Linked DNA regions of Mus musculus: regions 1, 2 and 4 are each reported to be linked to region 3. Evidence: microRNA targets listed by miRTarBase, many of them from high-throughput screens and not tested one by one. Region 3 holds a microRNA gene; each other region holds the end of a gene's coding sequence.

What was found. The annotated mature microRNA mmu-miR-146a-5p reads UGAGAACUGAAUUCCAUGGGUU and lies in region 3 at 912-933, shown strand. An mRNA with a match to its seed (bases 2 to 7 or 8) in the 3' UTR can be bound and repressed. Matches are read on the target gene's strand: a 7mer-m8 pairs with bases 2 to 8, a 7mer-A1 pairs with bases 2 to 7 and ends in A, and an 8mer does both.
Region 1: the mRNA of Rc3h1 is a reported target of mmu-miR-146a-5p. The part of its 3' UTR that is shown has no 7-base or 8-base seed match.
Region 2: the mRNA of Tgif1 is a reported target of mmu-miR-146a-5p. Seed matches in the 3' UTR shown: 7mer-m8 at 270-276.
Region 4: miRTarBase lists Irak1 as a target of mmu-miR-146a-5p. Seed matches in the 3' UTR shown: 8mer at 2,556-2,563, 8mer at 2,540-2,547 and 7mer-A1 at 2,450-2,456.

The regions. Positions count from the first base shown.
Region 1 is chr1:160,967,292-160,970,474 of GRCm38, forward strand. Rc3h1 (RING CCCH (C3H) domains 1) reads left to right here. Exons shown (of 20, transcript NM_001024952.2): 20 at 356-3,183. The coding sequence ends at 506. Among named protein-coding and RNA genes, the nearest start is that of Serpinc1, 9.7 kb to the right of the region's middle.
Region 2 is chr17:70,841,769-70,844,946 of GRCm38, reverse strand. Tgif1 (TGFB-induced factor homeobox 1) reads left to right here. Exons shown (of 3, transcript NM_009372.3): 3 at 1-742. The coding sequence ends at 250. Among named protein-coding and RNA genes, the nearest start is that of Gm41610, 2.1 kb to the right of the region's middle.
Region 3 is chr11:43,372,185-43,375,367 of GRCm38, reverse strand. It overlaps Mir146 (microRNA 146), which reads left to right and starts at 907; the gene lies at 907-971.
Region 4 is chrX:74,012,838-74,016,013 of GRCm38, forward strand. It overlaps Irak1 (interleukin-1 receptor-associated kinase 1), which reads right to left. Exons shown (of 15, transcript NM_001177973.1): 15 at 1,077-2,664. The coding sequence ends at 2,603. Among named protein-coding and RNA genes, the nearest start is that of Mir5132, 9.2 kb to the right of the region's middle.

The DNA of each region.
Region 1 (3,183 bases), not on the chromosome of region 3:
CTATAACCTATACGTATAGAGTAGGAAGCTTGTCAGTTTTAGTTTATCATCTATGCTACAGTGTGGATGAGGAGTTAGAATCAATATTTGGAAGCTATTTATGTAGTTATTTTTATTTTGGCTGTTTGAGACAGTCTCATTGTGTAGCTAGCCTTGGTTGGCCTGGAACCAATCTAACCTAAAACTGATAAAGACCAGCTGCTTCTGCCTTCTGCTTGAACTAAAGGCATGTGCTCTACTCCAGCCTCATGTTTTTCTACAGTGCTAAATAATAAGCCCTATTGATTGGATTTTATTTAGAGTAATTGCTTTTCTCTTTCTATAAATTCCAACTATTTTTTCATGTAATTTACAGTGATGTACCAAATGGATCAGCCTTGACACAAGAGAATCTCAGCCTCCTATCAAACAAGACCAGCTCTTTGAATCTGTCAGAAGACTCTGAGGGAGGAGGAGATAACAATGATTCCCAGAGATCAGGAGTTGTTTCCAATTCTGCTCCCTAGAATATGGGCACCTGCTTCTACCTTCTGCTCCTAATCAGTTCATGGGGCATAGGGATAGAAAAATGGATAACTTCTAAACTTTTTCTCTGAGTGGTCAGTGAAGTCCAGGAAAAGCACCGGAGGCAATGTGCACAAACACCACTACTAAACAAACCTGCACATAGTTCACATTGATGCATTTTTTTAATTTTAAGAAAAAAAAATTAGCAGTATCTGCAAGCAATTCAGATTAAATTTGTTTTTGTTCTGTGAATGAACTTTATTTTAATAACTTTGGACGCCTTGGATCCGGGGCTTTAAAAAAAAAGAAGATATTATATATACACTCTGTTTGATTAATTGTATGATCTTAATGAAGTAGGTTTTTCTTGTATTTTGGTATTATTACATACCCAGTGTATAATTCCTTTTCCCCAGTCCTTTCCAACTCTCACAACCCTGTAAACTAAAATAGACAAAAATGCACCGTTTCCAAGAATTCTGTGGTAATAGATTGGGTTATTAGAAACTGTGCAGCAAACTAATTTTATTAGAGCTATTCTTTAACCCCAGCCCTGTTTCTGGATCACTAGCTCTGTGGATAGATACTTGTTTTTTACAACATTAAAAGTTTATTTGAGTGGATATGGTTTTAGTTTCAACTTTTCAGAGATGTCAACATGCAGTTGATTGTTTGAGCCACATTTTGGTGTCAAGCATTCCTTGCATTATCTCCTTAAAATCTGAAAGCCTATTTAGTGTTTACAATGTTTAGTTAGATTTAAATGAAGATTATTTTATTTTAAGAATGAACTCTGAATTGGATATAATGGCTCATTCCTGTAATCCCTGGCCTCAAGATGTTGAGGCAGGAAAAAACAGAATAAGAAGAAAAGAAATGAACTTCAGCTTGTTAATAGTGAAAATAGGCATTTCCTGTTCTCCTATGTGGAGCTCATGTTGGAAAATTCGAGCTGTGTTTACAAATTAAACTTGTCTTGAAACCCTAGAATAGAAAAACCAGGACAGTGAACCATACTCTAAAGCTGGGAGCCGGCTCAGCAGAAGAGCACCGGCTGCTCTCCCGGGTTCTTGGCAGCACCTGCAGGGTGTCTCCCAGTTCCACTTTCAGGGACATGACACCCTTTTCTGGCCCTTGTGGACACCAGACACAATGAAGAAAATTTTTTAATTAAAATAAAACTTAACACTCGATAGGAGCTTCAGTAAACAAGGACATATTATTTCAATGGAATTTTTGTTTTCCTTTCAAAAGCGTTAAAGATTTGGCAGATAGAAACTGACTGAGTCTTCAGGGTAGTTCATGCTTTGGTCACTTGTCAGTAATCAGAATTACTAGAATAACTATAAATAACTTGAAGTGAGTTTTTATAGACCTGGCTTTCTGACATTAAAAATGTTTATGAAAAAGTTGAAGAGTGAGGAAGAATTTTTATTTAGTTCTGCTGCACATATTCTAATGCTAACCACTGTTTGCTTAATTTACTAAGCCCCTCTAAAATGAGTTCAGCAAGGCAATGTTTCGTAGAATCACTCCATCCCTCTGATTGCCTGACGTCAGTTTCCCTTTCTAGATGATGCTACAAAACAAGAAAGCACTGGTTATGTAATAAGTTACTGCATTGCTTTGGTTGGGTAAAAGCAAACGTTTATATTTTTCTTATTTCTATTTCCTGAACCCTTAACTCTGCTGAGGTCTGCGTCACCTCAGTCTAAGCTCTGTGTCCATCATCTTGTTAATTGAAACAAGTGGGTGGGGGTGGGATAAGAGTGGGAGGGGTGGGAAGGGAAAAATAGTCCTGCCATTGCCTACCAGTAGGAAATCCAAACAGAACACTCATTTGAGTAGCGATTATTTAATTTGCCCAGTCAAGGCACCGTGTTTATATACTATTTCACATTGAATTTGATTATGCCCTACAGACCTGGCTGGTCAAGGATTTGATATACACATATTGGCTTGGGATTCGAGCTTTCTTTTTTATTTAAATAAAAATTTATATATATATTATATATATACATATATACATGGCTATATCTGTATATATATCGGGTATGTTTTAAAGATTTCTTCGCATGAGCGCAGCTGTTGCAATAAGATGACTGATTGGGAGGTAGAGGCACCGAATGACGGTGAGGCATTTCTCAGTTGATGCATACATTTTCCTTTTAATTTTAAATACACATTTGTACATTTGCTTTTTTTGGACTTTTTTTTTTAAGATAAAATGACTCTTACATTTATACTTTACTCATTATTTATTGAGATGAGGAGAGAAATGTTATGCCTGACAGGATTTTTATTTTTCTGCATATCTATAAAACGCCACATTATTGGCCTCTTGCCTTCAGTAGACAGATTTGGGTGGGTCTTACCTCCTTTGGACATTTCAAGATAATTCCTAAGTCTTAGAAGCAGATGGGTTTTTGTTGTTGTTGTTTTTAAAATTGGAATAACTAGGGGGAAATCTGCATATTGGTTTTCTTGGAGTTAAGAATAAAAGTAAATTTTCATTGTAGTGTGTATGAGACCCCCAAAATGTACTCTGCTGCGGTGCACTAGTATCCTTTTAGGTATATTTTTATTTAGGGAGAAAATTAGTCTTTTAAATGGTAGTATGAGTTCCCCAAGCCCCTCTCTATAGCCAGTCTGGGTTGGGTAGAAAGTGAAAGACTG
Region 2 (3,178 bases), not on the chromosome of region 3:
GCCGATTGGTGTGGGACAGAGTACAGATGTACCGCAAATAGCACCCAGCAACTTTACAGACACCTCTCTCGTGTACCCAGAGGACACTTGCAAATCTGGACCCAGTCCAAACCCTCAGAGTGGTCTTTTCAACACTCCTCCCCCTACTCCACCAGACCTCAACCAGGATTTTAGTGGATTCCAGCTTCTAGTGGATGTTGCACTCAAACGAGCGGCAGAGATGGAGCTTCAGGCCAAACTCACAGCTTAACCGTTTTTTCAAACAAAACAGTTCTCCAAAATACGGTCCTGATTGCCGGGGGTGATGGCAAGAGATGCATTATTTTATATATTTTTCTATTAATATTTGCACATGGGATTGCTCAGACGAAGCTTCCTGTTACTAAGATGTCTTAAGTGGAATAGAGTCATTCCAAGAACTACAAACTAAAGCTACTGTAGAAACAAAGGGTTTTCTTTTCGAATGTTTCTTGGTAGTTTCTCATAATGTGAGACGGTTCCCAGTATCATGTGATCTTCTCCTCCAGACTCCTCTTCTTTATGTTCCAAGACTGTGCAATACTTTAGACGCCCTCGCACCTCTCTCTTCCCATGTGGAATGGGACGCCCACCTACAGTCTAATGAGTAAACTTTCAGTTTTTTGTTTGTTTGTTTTTTTTTAGATTCAAGCAAGTATGAATCTAGTTGTTGGATACCTTTTTTCATGATGTAATAAAGTATTTTCTTTAAAAGTTATTGCAATGAAGAGCATTTTCTTGAAGGAAGCAATCAGAACACAGTAGGAATATAGGAAATGGGGGCAGGGCAGACTGATTTAGGTTGTGTGTGTGTGTGTGTGTGTGTGTGTGTCACTGCTTTGAAGAGCTGTGGACGGCAAACCACTGTGAATAATCCGGGTGGGTGAGATTTCCTCTTGATTGGAGGGTGAGTTTGCCCCTCAGTCTTTGCTTACAGATGAATGGCAGATAGTAGTGAGGTATCCGCATCAATTCATGATGACATCAGTAGTGAGGTCACCAGCAGTGAGCTGCTGTGTATTTCAGAAGGGCCCACGCTGAGTTTATCTTAAACTCTCCAAGGTTGTAAGTTTGACTGTTGCGGCATGTGCAAGTATGGTCTGTTAGGATAGAAAGTTACTTGCAAAGCCTGGTTGCCCAGGAGGGAACCGGTTGTCGCATGCCTCAGAATCATTCCTACAAAGCCATGCTTGCTGTGAGGCTCCTTTGTTGTTGAAGGCCTGTCCTGTGCTTTCCTGCCGCAGCTAAGAAGCCAAGGTGCACTACAGCTTCTGGACGGCGGTTTTAGAGAGTAGGACATTCTTGCACACTGAAGTTTGCCTAAATGTGAAAGTCTCTGCTCCAGAAAAAAAGAACACTCAAACAAAAGTTGGTAAGTGACACAGAAGACCCAGAGGGTGTACGGAAGTGAAGGGAAGGTGCCAGAGGGTGGCTTGGCCGTAGTACAAATGAAGGTGGGTAAAGAATTATGTTCACTTCAAAGCTGGATCAAAGGTCACAGCCACACACTGCTATAAATCCTGATGGCCTACCCATGTTAAGCGCTTGCTCACATTAAAAGAAAAAACCCCAAAATAACAAGAGCTGGGGAAGGAGTCAACTCAGGCCTAGAGGAATGCACAAGGCCCTGGCAAAGAGGCAAAAATCAAGGTTGAGGGCACTTTTCCTCCTCTGAGTTGAGGGATCCTGGTTCTCAGTGACCAGATAGTAAATAGAAACCATTGTTCTACAAGGTGTAACTCAAAAGCTGCCATATCAGCTGGGCAGGGACGCACACCCGCAATCGCAGCAGGCCAGGGCAATCAGACCGCCGCTGAAACGAGAGATCTGCTACTTCATGAGAGATTCAGATTTAAAACAAAATTATTCGTGGGGCTGAGGAGTCTTCCATTTAAGGGTGCTTGCCTAGCATGTGGGTCTGTCCTCCCAGTACATAAACTGGGCAAAGTGGCACATCCCTGTAACCCAAACCCATGTTCAAAGTTATACCCTGTTCCATGTGAGCTTGGCCAGCCTGGGCTACTTAAAACACTGTCTCACACTGAAGGGAAAGAATTCTTTTGTGTCTACTGTTTTTATGGTATAACTTTTTGTTTGTTTACTTTTAAACTCCCTGTGTTTAAATACCTTCTTTTCGGGCATATTTAACTGGGTTTTTCATTTAGTCTCTGCTTTCGAGTCACTTTGTTTAGTCACTTTACACCTTATACAGTTTCAGCACCAAGCCCAGCTATCTCTTGATGAATTTGTAGTCCATGTACGTATGGTTTTCCCCTGCCTTTGTATTCCTCCGTTTTTTCCTCATTTTAGTTTAATTAGTATTTTCTAGTATTTTTTCTTCAGTTTTTATTTTCAGTCATGGTTAGTTTAATTGTTGTGTGTTTTTTTTTTTTTTTTTTTTTTTTTTTTTTTTTTTTTTGTCTTGTCTCACTAAATAGACCATGCTGGCCTTGAACTCACAGAGTTCTCTTCCTCCCAAGCTCTAGAATCAAAGGCATTTTCTACTCCACCCAGCCACCCAGCCATACTGTTAATTCTGAGTGGTTGTAGGGACAAGAACGCGTGCCTTTAGTTATTCAAGTCTCCGGTGAAGAAGGTCTCTTCACTTTCCCCCTTTGCTTTTGTGAGTCTGTTCAAATAAACATGTCTCTACACAATAAACTCAATCATACAGATAAAAGTTTTGCTTAAAAACAAGCAAACTCAGCTTGGTTGGTCTGGCTTGGCAGAACTTGCCTTTAATCCTAGCAGTAGGCAGGTAGAGGCAGGGGGATCATTGTGACTTCAAGCCAGTCAGGGCTACATAGTGAGACCCTCTCTCAAAACATGAGCTTTGTGGGAGACTCTGTGTATGTGTGCGTGTGTGTGTGTGTGTGTGTGTGTGTGTGTGTGTGTGTGTGTGTTTAGCATTTCTGGTGCCTTCCATTCTTTCCTGTAGACTCAAGTGACATCTAGTGTCATACCTTGTAAGCTTGGAGAACCCCCCAGAGGAGTGTAGTGTGAAATGATTCCGTGGAAAGCAAGCTTGCCGCACCTAAGCTCAGTTCTCGGGGCCCACCTGCGGAGAGAATATTTATTGAACTTTGATTTTCCTTTGGTCTTGGAAGGGTGACCCCCTTTTGGAGAATTTCAGGTTGGTGCCTTCCTTTGGTCTGTGTAA
Region 3 (3,183 bases):
CATCAAAGGCTCTATCAATTAGTTTATAACTATGAAGGGAAGGATTGAACATGACACAGGAGAATGGCAGGTATCACTGGGGAACGGAGACGAGGTATTAGTGAGGCTATTACACTCAATGATTCTAACAGATGCCTAAATAGCAGTGGCTTGAAAAGGGGAAGGTCCTGCTCTTGCTGACGTGAAGAAATACAGTTTCAAAGATCATCTAGTGCCATGCCCTGCCCTATCATGGGTGGTGCATGGCCCACATTGCATGGTGTGGGTGCAGCTGTACTGTGCGCTCTGTCTCCATGTAGAACTGGGTCACTCTAGGAAATGGGGCCTTTGTGCCAGGAGTGTGTGTACACGGTGTGTGGGGGGGAGGGGTGGTGGGTTCGGTGAACACAGAAGAGACACAGGGTGACAATCCAGTCATCTCTGCTATTGATGGTCTTGCTGAGGAGGTGATTCAGTAGGTGAGAGCCTCAGGAGGAATAGGCGTTGAGGGCAGTTTTCCAGGCCAGGGGCACATGTATGAGGGCACAGTGGGGACGGAAAGACCATCTGTCATGTTCCTGATTGCTTTTGAGAAAATCTTGCTACGTACTTCAGGCTGCCCTTGGACCAGCAGTCCTCTTGATGCACCTTCTTCTTCGCTGGGATTATGGGGTGGCCTCAAACTGACATTTCTCCTGCTGCAGGCTCATGAATGTTGAGATTACAGGCTTGCACCACATGCCCAGCATGTTTAATGATTGCTTATGAACTTGCCTATCTTGTGTCCCAGATCCTTATGCATCAAGAGTGTCCAGTCTGCAGAGGCCGTGCTTTTGGATTTATCAGAGATTTCTCTTGTGTTTTTACAGGGCTGGCAGGATCTGGCCTGGGAGGAAGGCCTCATCTGGAGAGTCTGTGTGTATCCCCAGCTCTGAGAACTGAATTCCATGGGTTATATCAATGTCAGACCTGTGAAATTCAGTTCTTCAGCTGGGATAGCTCTGTCATCACGGACCTGAAGAACACTGGTTGGAACAAACTCTGAAGGCCTTCATAGTCTGCCAAGGAACTTGAAGAGTGGAGAGAGTGGGGTGAAGCGTGGAACTGCTGGCACCGGAGGGAGTCATGTTGGATTGATGTGTGTTCTAATTTCATTTCTGTTGCTCTGATAAAATATCTTGACAAAAACAATTTAGGGGAGAAAGGGTTTATTAGATTATAATTCCAGGTCACAGCTGATCATTATAGGGAAGACAAAGTAGGAACTTGAAGCAGCTCGTCTCATACATCGTCAAGAAGAAAAAGAGAGCCAAACATTGTGGCACATACCTTCACTCCAAGAAATTTGGAAGCAGAGGCAGGTGGCTCTCTGGTAGGCCAGCCTGATGTACAGAGCAAGTTCCAGGCTAGCCAGAGCTATATAGTGAGATTGTGTCTCAACAAAGAGGAAAAAAATAGAGAAAAAATATATATGCTTACTTGTACTTGACCCCCTCTCTACACTTAAAGAGTCTAGGATCACCTGCCTAGGGAATGATGCTGCCTACAGTGGGCTTGGATCTTCCTATGCCAATTAATATAATCAATATATCCATCCACAGATATACATAGGTCAACCTGATCGAGATGATCCCTCACTAACACTCTTTCTAAATGATCCAAGATTGTGTCAGGTTGACAGTGCTAAGCAATATAGTATGGCAATTCCTCCTCCGGTTGGGAAAAGCGAAGCATCCTATAAATAGCCTCACTGAGTGGTTCTTGCTGCTGTGACTCTTGTTTACATTTCCATGATTTAGGATGAGTCAGGTATGAAGGGGACTAAGTGCTATGCATGCTGTTATAGGAGACTCATGGGAAACACCACTTTAATGAAGCTTGAGAGACACAGGATTGCCAAGCAGTGATTTCCCAGTCTCTTTATGGGACCAGATGGAATTAATTGTATGTGGCAATTATCCTTTAGCATGGTCTGCTGAGGTGTTTGGCTGCTTTTTCAGATATGTAGCAAAAAAGGATAAAGAACACATCCTTCTTATAGCCCCTCATCCCTTTTATTTGAACCTGTGCTTTCTTGCCTACTTTAAGCAAACAAGGGGTAGAGTGTTCTTTTGTACCTCCAAACAAGACAAAAGAAGTTGTAATTACACTCCACTGTAACTGACAGTTTCTTCCAGGGATGAGGATTAAGAAGCCTTAGAAAGTCTATTTGGACATATAGTCTATTAAATGATGGGGCTCAGGTCCTTGTAGAGAGGCAATAAAGACCTCTGTCACCAAGCATGTTGGGTCTCTTCTGAGAGTTGGGCTTGATTTGCTGCTGCTGATTATCTGGACTTTATTAAGCTTTTGAATTAGTGGGGAATTAGGAATGTGCCCTGTGCTTTGGGAACTCCTCTTTGACTCATCACTACGTCTTGGTGTCCTGGGATTTCCTTCTTACTCTTGTCTCTGAATGAAAAGAGAGGGAGGTAGCATGAGATGGGGGACTGTACAGCACCCACATGCTCAGTCTTTCAACTGAGGAACGTAGGTGTTTACTGTGCATCGACTCCTAAATCCAGGGCTTTGCCTATACGATCTCAGTGAATCTTACCAAGCCTCATCTCCATAATATAGACACATCAACAAAAGGATTTTTTCCCCTGTTATTATGATAAAATGGCCTGGCAAAAATAATGGTTGATTTTGGCTCACAGTTCAAGGGTATTGTTCATCATGGAGGAAGTCATAGCATGAGAAGCTTGAGAGCTGCTGGCCACATGACCTCGGCAGACAAGCCGTGGAGAGCAGCAGATGCGCACAGCTCACTTTCTCCTTTGCATGAAGTCCAGGACACTACCCAGGGAAGGGTGCCACCCTACTTTATGGTGGCTCTTCTTACATCAATTAACTTAATCACCTCACAGGCATCCTCCAGGGGTAACTCGATCTAAATAACCCCTCCTAGGGATAATTGGAGCTATGTCTTCTAGATAATTTCAGATCTTGTCAAGTTGATACCAAAGAGCTATGGTTGTCAAATTAAAAAATCCGAACCAGACTCAATGGGAAATCTTCAGCCATAGTAGCCAGAGAAGCAAATCTATGCCTTGCTCAGTCATTATCAGAGAAGCTTCCTGTTCCAGAAGATGGAAACAAGTAGAGATCCAGAGCCAGAGTATATGCAGAGAATGAGAGACCGCAGAACACTCAACCTTAAGA
Region 4 (3,176 bases), not on the chromosome of region 3:
TCATTAGCAAAGAATCCTTCATCACATGTCCTTTCATGTGCTTGCTTTAGCAGAACACCCTCTTCTGTGTTTGCTTCAGTGAAACGTTCCTTCACGAGTCCGCCTTAACCTTTCACCTGTGTCCACTCTAAGGAATTGTTCATCTGTTTGCCCAGCAAAAACATCATCCAACTGACTTTTCAAAGAACCCTTAAGTTTCCACTTCAAGTTTGTGTAGATATTGCTCCCCATTTATTTTCTTATTTGTCAATAAAAACTAAGCACCCAAGAAGAGGAATAGGGTGGGAGGGACTCTGCCAGCCAGAGGGAGAGCAGAGAGTGAGAGGGGAAGGGAAGACTGGGTCATGAGGAGAGGGTGGAAAACACTATGAAAAAACATCTGAAGCAGAGAGAGCCAGATCAATACTAAAATTGCAAGTATGGGGATTTTGGGTCAGAGGTAGCCAGATTATTTTAAGAGAAATACAATAGGTTAATAACTGCTCAGCTAATGTGCTGTAAAGCTTATAAAATAAACCTTATAGTCCGTCTCATTTATTTGGGAGGCAACTGGGAATAGAGAAAATGTATCACTTTTAAAATTGCACTTACAGAATTCAGCAAAACAAACAAAAACAGAACATGTGGCAACCAAGCCAGAATATGCATCTAGCTTAACATTTCAAAACCAATGTGACCACTGCATGAACAGAATGAAAATAAATTCTGTTTATCTCAATAGACTCAGTAGCATCATTTGAAATATTCTGTAACTCCTCTTTCAATTCCACCTTTACAAGAAAAATAACAATGATGTTTATTTTCTTTTTCTTTAATAGAACAAACATAGATTTGTTAAGAAAAGTGAGAAAAACTCCTGAGAGTGGGTGGGGTTTCCCACTTGTATTCAAAACTTATAGGCCCTAGCCAATGCAATAAATGAAGAAAAAAAAAGTCAAGTTGGGTATGGTAGAGCATGCCTTGTCAGAGGCAGGTAGACCTCTGGAGTTCAAGGCCAGTCTGGTCTACATATCAAGATCAAGGACAGTCAGGGCTATATAGTTAGTTCTAAAAAGAAAAGAAAATTAAAAGGCATATAGGTTGGCAATGGAGTAAAATTATCTTTATTTTCAGATAGGTTGATTGTATACAAACTATCTCAGAGTAATCACCCCCAAAACAAGTGGGGCTAAGAAGTAAGGCCACAGAATAAAGATCAGGATCAAAACTTAATGAAATTTCTATATATGATTGATGAATAATTCAGACATGAAGGCTTCAATTCCAATAGCATCAATATCCACGAAATCTGCAAGACAAGAAAGCAAGGGGATCTATCCCCAGTCTGGCCTGACAAGAGAAAAGAACAAATGCTAGGGGCCTGAGTTTTGGGTGGACACTTAAGAGCCCAGAGATATAAAGCATTAGGAAAGCATAACACTTTTAGCACAACAAATTCCACAAGTTTAACCAGACAGTGAAATGTATGCTTTTATTACTCAAGGACAAATTGGATGTCACCAATTACACAGGGGCATGTAGTGTGACTCATGACTCAAACACAGAATCACTGTAAGCCTGGGCTATAGCCCTGGGCTACTTGTGAAGACACTTAATTATACAAAAACTTGTTGTTTTTTTTTTAAATGTAACATTCTTCCCCCTCAAATACTTAGCTTTGCTCTCAGTTTCTTCTTTCTTGGGGCTTCTCACTGTCTGGGTACCACAAAGCTGGGCTTTGCTGGACCTTTCTGCCATAAGCAGAACCTTGGGCATCCACAGTCAATTTGCAGGGTATAGAGAGAGCCTGCCTAGGCAGGCAGGTAGTCATATGAAACTAGCTCACTGCTATCTGGCAAGGCTTGCATATATCCACCCAAGATGGGGAGGGGGGTTTTATTAGACTCTTGGGAGAATCTCAGAGTGCTCACTTCTAGCTAGTGGACTGAACTGTAAGACACTCTTTTTTTTTTTTTTTTTTTTTTTTTTGCAATTTACAAGCACAACAGCTACTTTCGCTTGGTGTTTTAGGGAAGTTCTGAGGAATAGACTCACAGACTGCAGATATATTATCTAGCTCTCAGGGGAGCTAGCTCCCACCATACAAACAGACCTACTTGTGTCCTCTGGGCCTGTGTAGCTAGCAGTCTTCTGTTTTTTTTTTTTAAAGATTTATTTATTATATATAAGTACACTGTAGCTGTCTTCAGACACTCCAGAAGAGGGCGTCAGATCTTGTTACAGATGGTTGTGAGCCACCATGTGGTTGCTGGGATTTGAACTCCGGACCTTTGGAAGAGCAATCGGGTGCTCATACCCACTGAGCCATCTCACCAGCCCCAGTCTTCTGTTTTGTACTACCCAATTCCTTAGGTACTCTGCTTGCCTTGCTCACAAATGCTGGCCTCACATTGCCTGCCTTATCAGCTTCTATCAAGTTCTTTGGCTGGCCCTGTCTGTGTTCACATTCTGAGAACAGCAGGGTCCACTGCCCTCTCTCCTTTGCCAGAGTGAGCCCCCACACCTGATGCCTTTGGGCTACTGAGGAGTTTGCACACTATGAGAACTTCCAAGCATGAGAACTTTGACCTCTGAGTCTGAGGGATTTGTCAGAGTGAACAAATCAGCTCTGGAATTCATCACTTTCTTCAGGTCCCTGGCTCTTTTCAGGTTCTAAATCCAAGCCTATGGAAAAGAAAATATCACTTAATAAGTTGGGGACAACTTCTTGTCTTTCAAATACCCTGACATGAACCATGAGCACAGAACTTTGTGGGCCCCCTCCCACTCCAAACTGAGCATGTGGGAAGGAGACTGGAACTCAGGGCACTTCGCTTGCTAAGCAAATGCTCTACAACTGAGCTAATTCCCTACCCCACCCCACCTTTTTCTCACAGGGTTTTTTTGTCTGTTGCCCTGGCTATCCTGGAACTTGCTCTGTAGACCAAGCTGGCCCCAAACTTGCCTGTTTCTGCCTCCCAAGTGCTGGGATTAAAGGCATGCGTTACCACTGCCCAGCTCAGGGCAGTCTTTGGAGCCAAGGTTTTCTTTATACCTTTAGTTTGCTTTTTGAAAATAAGATTTTTCCTTTTATATGTGTGTTTCTACGTGAGTTTTAAATACACCATGTATATACAAAGTATATACATGTATATACAAAGGTATCTGCGGAGGCCAGAAGAGGGATTCAGATCCCC